Linked DNA regions of Callithrix jacchus. The protein of the gene in region 1 purifies or fractionates together with the protein of each later gene. This does not show direct contact. Links are inferred from orthologs where the notes say so. Each region holds a gene or a part of one and is shown in the gene's direction. Other genes may lie near its edges. The genes, in order: HEATR3 and TMEM186.

What was found.
Region 2: the proteins of HEATR3 (region 1) and TMEM186 purify together in Homo sapiens (co-immunoprecipitation; 3 studies listed by BioGRID and IntAct, counting the BioPlex papers as one, with this or other methods). This does not show direct contact. The link is inferred for Callithrix jacchus from reciprocal best matches to the Homo sapiens genes HEATR3 and TMEM186.

The regions. Positions count from the first base shown.
Region 1 is NC_133521.1:7,861,897-7,866,471, forward strand, and holds the start of HEATR3 (HEAT repeat-containing protein 3), read left to right. Parts: upstream 1-1,521; 5' UTR 1,522-1,668; coding exon 1,669-1,806; coding exon of another isoform or gene 1,807-1,840; intron 1,841-1,907; coding exon 1,908-2,080; intron 2,081-4,119; exon of another isoform or gene 4,120-4,178; intron 4,179-4,295; exon of another isoform or gene 4,296-4,297; coding exon 4,298-4,385; intron 4,386-4,575. UniProt on the Homo sapiens protein: Plays a role in ribosome biogenesis and in nuclear import of the 60S ribosomal protein L5/large ribosomal subunit protein uL18 (RPL5). Required for proper erythrocyte maturation.
Region 2 is NC_133513.1:11,045,327-11,049,890, reverse strand, and holds the start of TMEM186 (transmembrane protein 186), read left to right. Parts: upstream 1-1,530; 5' UTR 1,531-1,555; coding exon 1,556-1,558; intron 1,559-2,587; coding exon 2,588-3,229; 3' UTR 3,230-4,564. Other genes in the region: PMM2 (phosphomannomutase 2), read right to left, coding at 1,226-1,291. UniProt on the Homo sapiens protein: As part of the MCIA complex, required for efficient assembly of the mitochondrial complex I.

The DNA.
Region 1 (4,575 bases):
CTTAGCTGGGCATGGTGGCAGGCACCTGTAATTCCAGCTACTCAGGAGGCTGAGGCAAGAATATCGCTTGAACCCGAGAGGCGGAGGTTTCAGTGAGCTGAGATGGTGCCATTGCACTCCAGCCTGGGCAATAAGAGAGAGACTCCATCTCAAAAAACAAGACAAAACAAACAAATCGGTGGCCTAGACTAGGTAGGTGGCAGGCAAATCAATGGCCCGATAAGATATACAGTAAGTAAAACCCACCAACATATATTTAGTGGCTCCAAGGCAGAAGTTGCAGTAAGCCAAGATTGCACCATTGCACTCCAGCCTGGACAACAGAGCAAGACTCTATCTCAAAAAAAAGAAAAACGGAAAGTTGACCCAAAGCTATGGGTATACTGAGTACTCACTAATTACATGTGTAATTATAAAGACTACCTGAGATTCTTCTGTTCTTTTTCCTCTGCTTAGTATTTACCACAATTATAACCAAAGTTATTAATATAATTATATATTCAACAGATCTCTCCCTGGACGGTAAACTCCATAAGGACAGGAAGACAGGACAGAAACCAAACTGCCTTGATTATTGTTTTATTCCAATGCCCAGCGCTGTACCTAGTACTCAACAAATATTTGCAAAAGAATCTCTTTGTTAAACAAAAGTTTCCAAACATTTACATAGTGCTTATTATCTGCCGGTCTTTGTTCTTAGCACCTTAAATAGATTAACACATTTGGTCTTCATAACAACTCCATAAGGTATATGCTATTGATGTCCCTACCTCACCGATGAGGAACCTAAGGCAGGTAGATTAACTTCTTAAGCGATTCTGCTTTATCAAATATAGACATACATTCGTTCCAAAACATTAAGTGGTCTCGATCTATGACAGGAGCTATGGGAGGTGCTGGGGAGACAAAATCACGGTTAATACTTTTTTGTGTACCTACTATATGTCAGGCTTGGTGTCTGGCACTTCATAGAACTTTATGTGTACCTTACAATAACCTTGCAAGTCAGGTATCCTTTTTATAAAAAAAAAAATATTTTACTTTTCAAACATACATCCTCACTGAATGGTATCCTTAATTATATTTATTTATAGTGTGATTGATTGATTGATTGAGACAGGGTCTCACTCTGTCACCCAGGCTGGAGTGCAGTGGCAGGATCAAGGCTCACTGCAGCCTCAAACTCCTGGGCCCAAGTGATCCCCCTATTTCAACCTCCCAAGTAGTTGGGACTACACACACAAGCCACTATACTCAGCTAATTTTTAATTTTGGGGGGAGCGGGGCCGGAGGGCTGGAGTGTTTTCCTATGTTGCCGAGGATGGTCTCGAACTTCTGGCCTCAGGTGATACTCTCGCCTGAGTCAGCGTTACTATTCTAGTCCAGCCTCCTACTTCCTGATATTACCCACAAGACTCCGCCCCTTTGCCGAAGCTGGCCCCGCCCACATCCTCTTCCACGCTTGCGCGCTCCGCGCGCCTGCCTTCGCCCCGCTGTCGACGCGCCGCGCGCCTGCGCACTGGTTCCCCATGTGTTCTCCAGCCGTCAGCCGGCCCAGCTGAGCAGCAGTGGGAAAGTCCTTTGGCAACGGACCTTGTCACCAGCGCGGTAGCCTCCATCACCTGCTGCTGCCCTCCTCTCTCGGTGGTCCGCACAGTGCACGTCGCCATGGGCAAGAGCCGGACGAAGCGCTTCAAGCGACCTCAGTTCTCCCCTACGGGCGACTGTCAGGCCGATGCTGCTGCGGCGGTGAATGGGACCGGAGGCGAGGATGACGACGGGCCGGCGGTGGAACTGCTGGAAAAAGTGAGGCGGGGGCTTCGCAGAGCCGGGTGTCGAGGTGAGGCTGTCCCGCGCGCGTGCGCACTGCGCTCTGCGTGCCTTCTGATGGTTCTTGCTGTCCACAGCTCCAACACCCGAGCGCCGAGGTCCGCGAGTGCGCCTGCGCGGGACTGGCCCGGCTGGTGCAGCAGCGGCCCGCGCTCCCTGGCCTGGCGCGTCGAGACGCGGTGCGCCGCCTCGGGCCGCTGCTGCTGGACCCCAGCCTGGCGGTCAGAGAGACTGCAGCCGGCGCGCTGAGGTGAGCCGGGAAAGGGTCTGGGGCGGTGCCACCGCTAGTCTCCCACGCGCCTGGGCTCCAGGCAGTCGCAGCGGTCAGCCAGCGCTTTCTGTGTGAGAGGCACTGGTGCGATCTGTTTGCAGAGATTGAACCCACTCTCCAGGCTCCGGAGAACGCCAGTATCCCCGGACCACAGGCATCTCATCTGTCTGTCTACCTGGCTGCTTCATCTGCAGCGTCCACCTGCTCAGGCGTTCTGCCTTCACGCCTGGTGCACGTTTTACTGGTTCCAAAAGCCCTCCATAGGGTCCCTTGCTTGGATGAAATTTTCAGTTCATGTGTCAGAAATTGTTCTAGATGCAGGGGATTTTATGCAGCCAAGACTGTTGAGCGAGACAGCCAAGATCCCTGTCTTGGCACAAGTCGTGTTGATGGGGGGCAGACAGGAAGCTAGTAAAAAGGTAACACATGATGTTAAATAGTGAGAATTGCTGTGGGAAAACGAGATGATGAGTTGGGGGTGGAAGTTTGAATTGGGTGCTCTTGAGCCTGGCGTGGTAGCTCACACCTGTAATCCCATTGCTTTGGGAGGCCATGGAAGGAGGATCACTGGAGGCCAGGAGTCCAAGGCCAGCTTGGGCAACATAGCAAGACCCCGTCTGTAGAAAAATTTTTAAACAATTAGGCATGGTGGTGGGTGTCTGTAACCCCAGCTACTCAGGAGGCTAAGGTGGGAGAATTGCTTGAGCCCAGGAGTTTGAGGCTGCAGTAAGCCGTAATCACACCACTGCTCTCCAGCCTGGGTGACAGAGCAAGACCCTGTCTCTTTAAAAAAAAAAAAAGAAAGAAAAAAAAAGGTGCTTTTTAGATGACTTGTGAACTGAGATCTGCAGGGTGAGAGAGCTAGGAGACGTGGAAAAATAGGGGGAAGAGCATTACCCAAAAAGGGAACAGCAGCAGCAAAGAAGCGAAGCAGCAGGTGGTTTGGCATGATTGAAGAGCAGAGAGGGTAGGTGCCTGAGAAGAGCAGGGGTGAGTAATTAAAAAGGTGAGGCCTGAGAGAGGGATGATCTGTAGGATGGTGTAGGGCTGAGGACTTACTTACTCTAAGCCGGAAAGTGGCATATTATATATAACTCACCTTTTCAGAAGGCCACTGTGGTGGCTGTGCAGAGAATGGACTGCAGAGGGGGCAAGAGCAGAAGTTAATACTTGGCAGTTCTTACAGCTCTGTCTCTACTTGTGATTTATGTTTCATTCACTGATTTAGCCAATATGTGTCAAGTGCCTACTGTGTGCCAGTGAGCTAGGCTGTGGTCATGGGGTAATGGGCAAGGTAGTGTCTCTCTTTAAGAAATCTTAAAGTCTATTGAGGGAGACCGGCATTAACCAAACAATTAGATAACTGTATAATTGCAACGAATGGCAATGACAAAGGGTGCTGCAAGAGGGTACAAACCGGTTCAGGGAAGAAGACTCTTGAGTGAGTGATGCTTGAGGTCAGCTCTGAAGGATGAATGGGGGAAATAGATGCCCTACTTCCCCTAGGAAGGAAACAGCATGTGGAAAGCCCTTCCCTTCCTCCCACAGCATACACAGGCTAGGGGATCCTGGAGGATTGTGACTATCCATATCCTTAGGGCCTAATACAGTGCTGTGCACTGGGAAGGCTCATATCTTTCCAATTAGAATTTAGCCAGGGCTACTTTAGGAGGTGTCATTCACCTGAGCCCCACCTTGCTGCCCTTGCAGTTTGCTTTCTTTTTTTTTTTTTTTTTTGTAGAAATGGGGTCTTTCTATGTTGCCCAGGCGGGTCTTGAACTCCAGAGCTTGAGTGATCCTCCACCTCAGCCTCCCAAAGTGCTGGGATTACAGGTGTGAGCCACAGCACCTATCCCTGCCCTTGTAGTCTTAATTTCAAGAACAGATCCCTTCGTACATGATTTATTCATGTGGGAAAAGTCTCCCTTCTCCCCTTCTTGTAGCTATGTACCTGTATACTGTCTCAGACCTCAGAACTAAGTTGTTATATGACAGAGTCATCTGTTTACATCTTGTAGAACAAGGATCAGAACAGGTGGAAATCTCTGGATTGGTTCAGCAGCATATGACAGAAACAGTAAGCTCTTTCCTCTGGGAAAACTTAAATATGGCTAAAAATAGATATAATTTGAGAGTGTAGAAGTGTTTTGTGACATGTGATGTGAAAGTAAAACATGTTTTAAACTTCTTGTGTAGAAATCTCAGTGCTTGTGGAGGTTTTGAAGTTTGTGATGACATGGTGACTAAGGATATCATGACCCCTCTGGTCGCGCTGCTAAAAGAGGTATGCAGTTTTTACAGTAACTCGATGGTAGCTTTTGGGATGCAAACTTAGACTTTTTTTAGTACTTTGACGTTAGTGACTTTGTCTTCTACCTAAACATTGTATGGAAATTTAATTCCTTTTCCTGGAAACACCGATCTACTCTCATTATTGACACCAATCTCTATTTTGTACCTTTATTTTTATGACA
Region 2 (4,564 bases), on another chromosome or scaffold:
ATTTCTGAAAAGGGGACAGAAGAGCCTCATCTCAAGGGTGATTGTAACTGAAACTTATCTGTGCCTGCAGCAGCAATATCTGGAAGTGGAAAGCACGTTTCCAAGGCCCTAAAGTGGGTCTCAGCAGGCAGCCTTTAATAACCTAGGGGTCCTCCATTTCCCGAGTCCACTGCAGGGGCTGGAGATGGGTGCGGTGGAGGTGGCTGTTTATTGAAGCCTAGTGTGTTATGTGCAATATAATTTCAAGAATTTATGTAATCTCATCTGAACCTCACAGACACCATATGGCACAGGGGGTAATATCCCCATTTAAAGCTGAAGATGAGGTCAGGCGTGGTGGCTCATGCCTGTAATCCCAGCACTTTGGGAGGCTGACGCGAGTGATCACCTGAGGTCAGGAATTTGAGACCAGTCTGGTCCACATGGTGAAACCCTGTCTCTACTAAAAATATAAAAATTAGCATGGCGTGGTGGCAGGTGCCTGTAATCCCAGCTACTTGGGAAGCTGAGGCAGGACCCGGGCGTGGCGGCAGGTGCCTGTAATCCCAGCTACTTGGGAGGCTGAGGTAGGACCCGGGCGTGGCGGTAGGTGCGTGTAATTCCAGCTACTTCGGAGGCTGAGGCAGGAGAATTGCTTGAACCTGTGAGGCGGAGGTTACAGCAGTGAGCCGAGGTCGCCCCATTGCACTCTAGCCTGGGAGACAAAAGCGAAAACTCCTATAAAAAAAAAAAAAAAAGCTGTAGATGCTGAAGCTCAGAGACATTAATGACTTGCTCAAGGTCACACAGCTGTCAAGAGGTGAAGACGAGACTCCACTAGGTCGGTTTGACCTGGAAACCTTTTAAAAATATTATTCACGGCACAGCTCATTGGTTACAGGACTGAGAATGTCTGTAACATAGCTGAAAAGGGGGCTTGATCTCGGGTACAAATCCTGGTCCAACAGTCCCGAGGACCAGCCGTGAATCCAGATTGCATTTTCCGACCCAGCACAAGTTTCTTGCTCTTAGGAGTTCTTCAGCCCCGTCTCATCTCTCCAAGCACCAAGAGCTCTTGAAGAGCTGGTCAGAGCTTCACTCTCATTCCTCCAGGACACCCCGAGTAGGGTTCAGCCCCCATGAACACTTCTGCGGTCCTCAGCTACCCCTTGGCGCCCACCCTGGGTGGTCGATAACTTCAACTGGGAACAGCACGGGCTCCGTCTCGGCTGCTACCGCCACTTACCTGCCGCGGAGCGGTGAGGGTCCCATCCACGTCGAAGAGGCAGAGCGCTGGGCCGGGACCTGCCATATCCCCAGTTTCTAGCTGCTCCTGACGAGACTCGTTGGCACCAGGAGCTCAGCCCGGAACTTCCGGGTTCGGCCCCCGAGCTGCAGGGCACGTCGGGAAGAGGAGACTCTGTTCCCACAATGCCTGGGACTAGCGCCAGCCACGATTCCTGGACCGCAACTCCCAGAGTGCAACGCGGTCACGCCCGCCTTGTACGTTCGAGCATGCCCTCTTAGAGGTTCCGGGGACCGGTGGCATTTACTTCCGGCAGCAGGCGGTGGGACAATGGTAAGGAGGCGGGTGACGAGCCTTGTTTTGGGGATCGGGGTCAGAGCTGGGGCAGGCAGACAAGACGCCCTACTGTCGGACTCGGAGAATCCCTAGTAGGAGGCTTCAGCGTGGGTTACAGTTCGCCATTCCCCCGGCTTTCTCTGACCTCCTTGGGTCACGTGCGCAGCAGTAGTACTCGCTAAAACTGGCCAGGCTCTCACAGTGCATCAGGTACTAAGTTGAGGGCTCTAAACCATCTTCTGGTTCACTGTGTTCTGAGTCCCCATTTTGAAAGGTGAAGAAACGGAAGCTCAGGGGTGTGAAGGAAGTAATTTGCTCAAGAATCCACAGGCAGTGACTGTTGGAGCCAGAACCGGAACCAGAACTTTTACTGCCTCGTTACTCACCTAATAATATCCTTGTGCTATGTGTTGGGGCCTTCCTGCTTCTCTCCTCCTCCTCTGCTATTTCTGCTTCCCCAGACTAGGCTAAGAAAGCAGCAGTTTCCTCTAGCACCCAAGATGACATATAAATCAAACAGAATTGGAAAGTTATTGGGATAAATATTTCACAGATTTGTTGCTCAAGTTCCCCACTAAGACACTGATTATTTAGTATCCTGCTTGGGGAAATGTTCACAACCCCTTTTGGATCCATTGTCCAGCCCAGAGTTGGTCCTGCCTAGATAGGTTGTGAGTTAATGAAGGCTGTACCTCTTTTCCTATATTTATTTGGAATTGCCTGGTGAAAAGAGGCCCGGTTTGAGAGTCGGACTCTGCTGCACTCACTGACTATGTTTGGGTAAACATCTTACCCTCTCTGGGCTTAGTTTCCCTAGTGGTAAAGTGGAAATAGGGATACCTATCTTAGGTAGCTGTTGTGTTGCTCACATGAGGTAGCATCTGGCTTTACCCTTTCCTTCTCTGGCAATAATGGTGACCTTGCAGGATTGGCAAAAGCCTTGGAGTGAGATGCTTTGCAGATGTTTACCGTGTGATTAATGTGGTTGAGTTCCATAAGAGAAATGGTCTACTATCTCCCTTTCAGGCTGCCCTTCTCCGAGCTGTGCCTAGGTTTCCAGGAAAAACTGCATGGGGACGGCCTCTCCATGGGCTGTGGTGGTGCTGCAGTGGGCAGGAGGATCCTAAGAGGTGGCTGGGGAGCACGTCACCCACCTCAAAGGAGAAACCACCAGACACAGAGACTGAGAAATTCCGGATGTTTTACCGTTTTGATGCCATCAGATCCTTCGGGTACCTGTCTCGACTGAAGTTGGCACAGACTGCCCTGACAGTGATAGCTTTGCCACCAGGCTATTACTGGTACTCCCAGGGCCTCCTGACTCTCAAGTCCCTTTGCATCATGAATGGGGTGTCATGCTTTGCTCTGGCCATGCTCTGCTGGATGAGCTATTTCCTTCGGAGACTGGTTGGCATCCTGTATCTGAACGAGTCTGGCACCATACTGCGGGTGGCCCACCTGAACTTCTGGGGCTGGCGGCAGGACACATACTGTCCCGTGGAAGATGTGATACCCCTGACAGAAACCAAGGACTGCCCTGAGGAGCTGTTCATGCGTATCCAGCAGTACAGTGGGAAACAGACCTTCTACCTTACCCTACGCCACGGACGCATCCTGGACAAAGAGTGTTTCACACAGGTGTTTGGGGCGCTGCAGATATTCAAGTAAACAACTGGGAGCTGGACCTCTGGGTAATTCTGGGTTGCCTGGATTGACAGGAAGGCCGAGGGTGTGCGCAAGATTGAAGAAAGGGGATTGAGTACTTGGAGACTTTCCTGGGCCCCTGGGAACATGTGTTTTGTGATGTAGAAATTTACAAGGTGAGATTTGGTGTCCAGGTTTAGGAAAAAGGCTCTAAATGCAAGTTCTTTTTTTTTCTTTTCATTTTTTGAGATGGAGTTCGTTCTTTTCCCCAAGCTGGAGTGGTGTGAACTCAGCTTATTCAGTCTCCGCCTTCCAGGTTCAAGCGCTTCTCCCACCTCAGCCTCCCGAGTAGCTGGGACTACAGGTGCTCGCCACCACACCTGGCTAACTTTTTTGGTATTTTTAGTAGAGACGGGGTTTCATTATGTTGGCCAGGCTGGTCTCAAATTCCTGACCTCTTGATCCATCTGCCTCGGCCTCCCAAAGTGCAGGGATTACAGGTGTAAGCCACCGCACCCGGCTAAGTGCAAGTTCTGATAGCACTTGTGTGTGACATTCAGTCAGATAATGGCTGGAGGTTTCTGTTAGGAGCCAGTTATTAAAGGAACCTATGCCAAGGTCACCCAGACAGTCCATTGCTGTGAAATGGGAAGGCAAAGAGGTGTGGCAGGGGAGTGTAGAATTTGGAGCCAGAAGTCTCAGTTCTGTTACTTGTCCTGGCAAAGAGGTTATTGAGCCTCTTTGAACCTCCATCTATAAAATGGAAAGTCTTCTTGTTGCATGGGATGGGTGTGGGAATAAACAATAAATGTCAAAATTTTTGCGGACTCAACAGCCCAGAGCAGATATTAAGCATTTGTATAGAGGTTTCAGCATGGAGAAAGACTTTGAGCAGTCACTAGCGACATCCAGAACTCTGTGCTGTGCCCCCTCACATGTCCAGCGGCAGAAGGGACTACCAGAAGGGACTGTTAACTACACATCAATGAGCAGAGATGTCATCCAGGTGAGCACAAAACCCCACCCAGAGGTCTAGAGACTCTTGCTTTGGATGGCCCTGCAGTGTAATAAAGCCAGATGGACGTATGCTGGTACACTGTTTTATAAACTAAAGCCAGTTATATACACTGCTCTGCATAATTAATAATATGTTCATTATACAATCCGTAACACAGTCAAGAGGAAGGAAGGCGCGACCTTTATGATTTCGCCACTCAAAAGTCAGTAACAATATTTTATTGTATAGCCTTTCATTTTTCTTAACCATAGCAAGATACACCTAACAAATATATCTTTTTTGTTATTTTGAGAAGGAGTTTCGTTATTGTTGCCCAGGCTGGAGTGCAATGGCAAGATCTT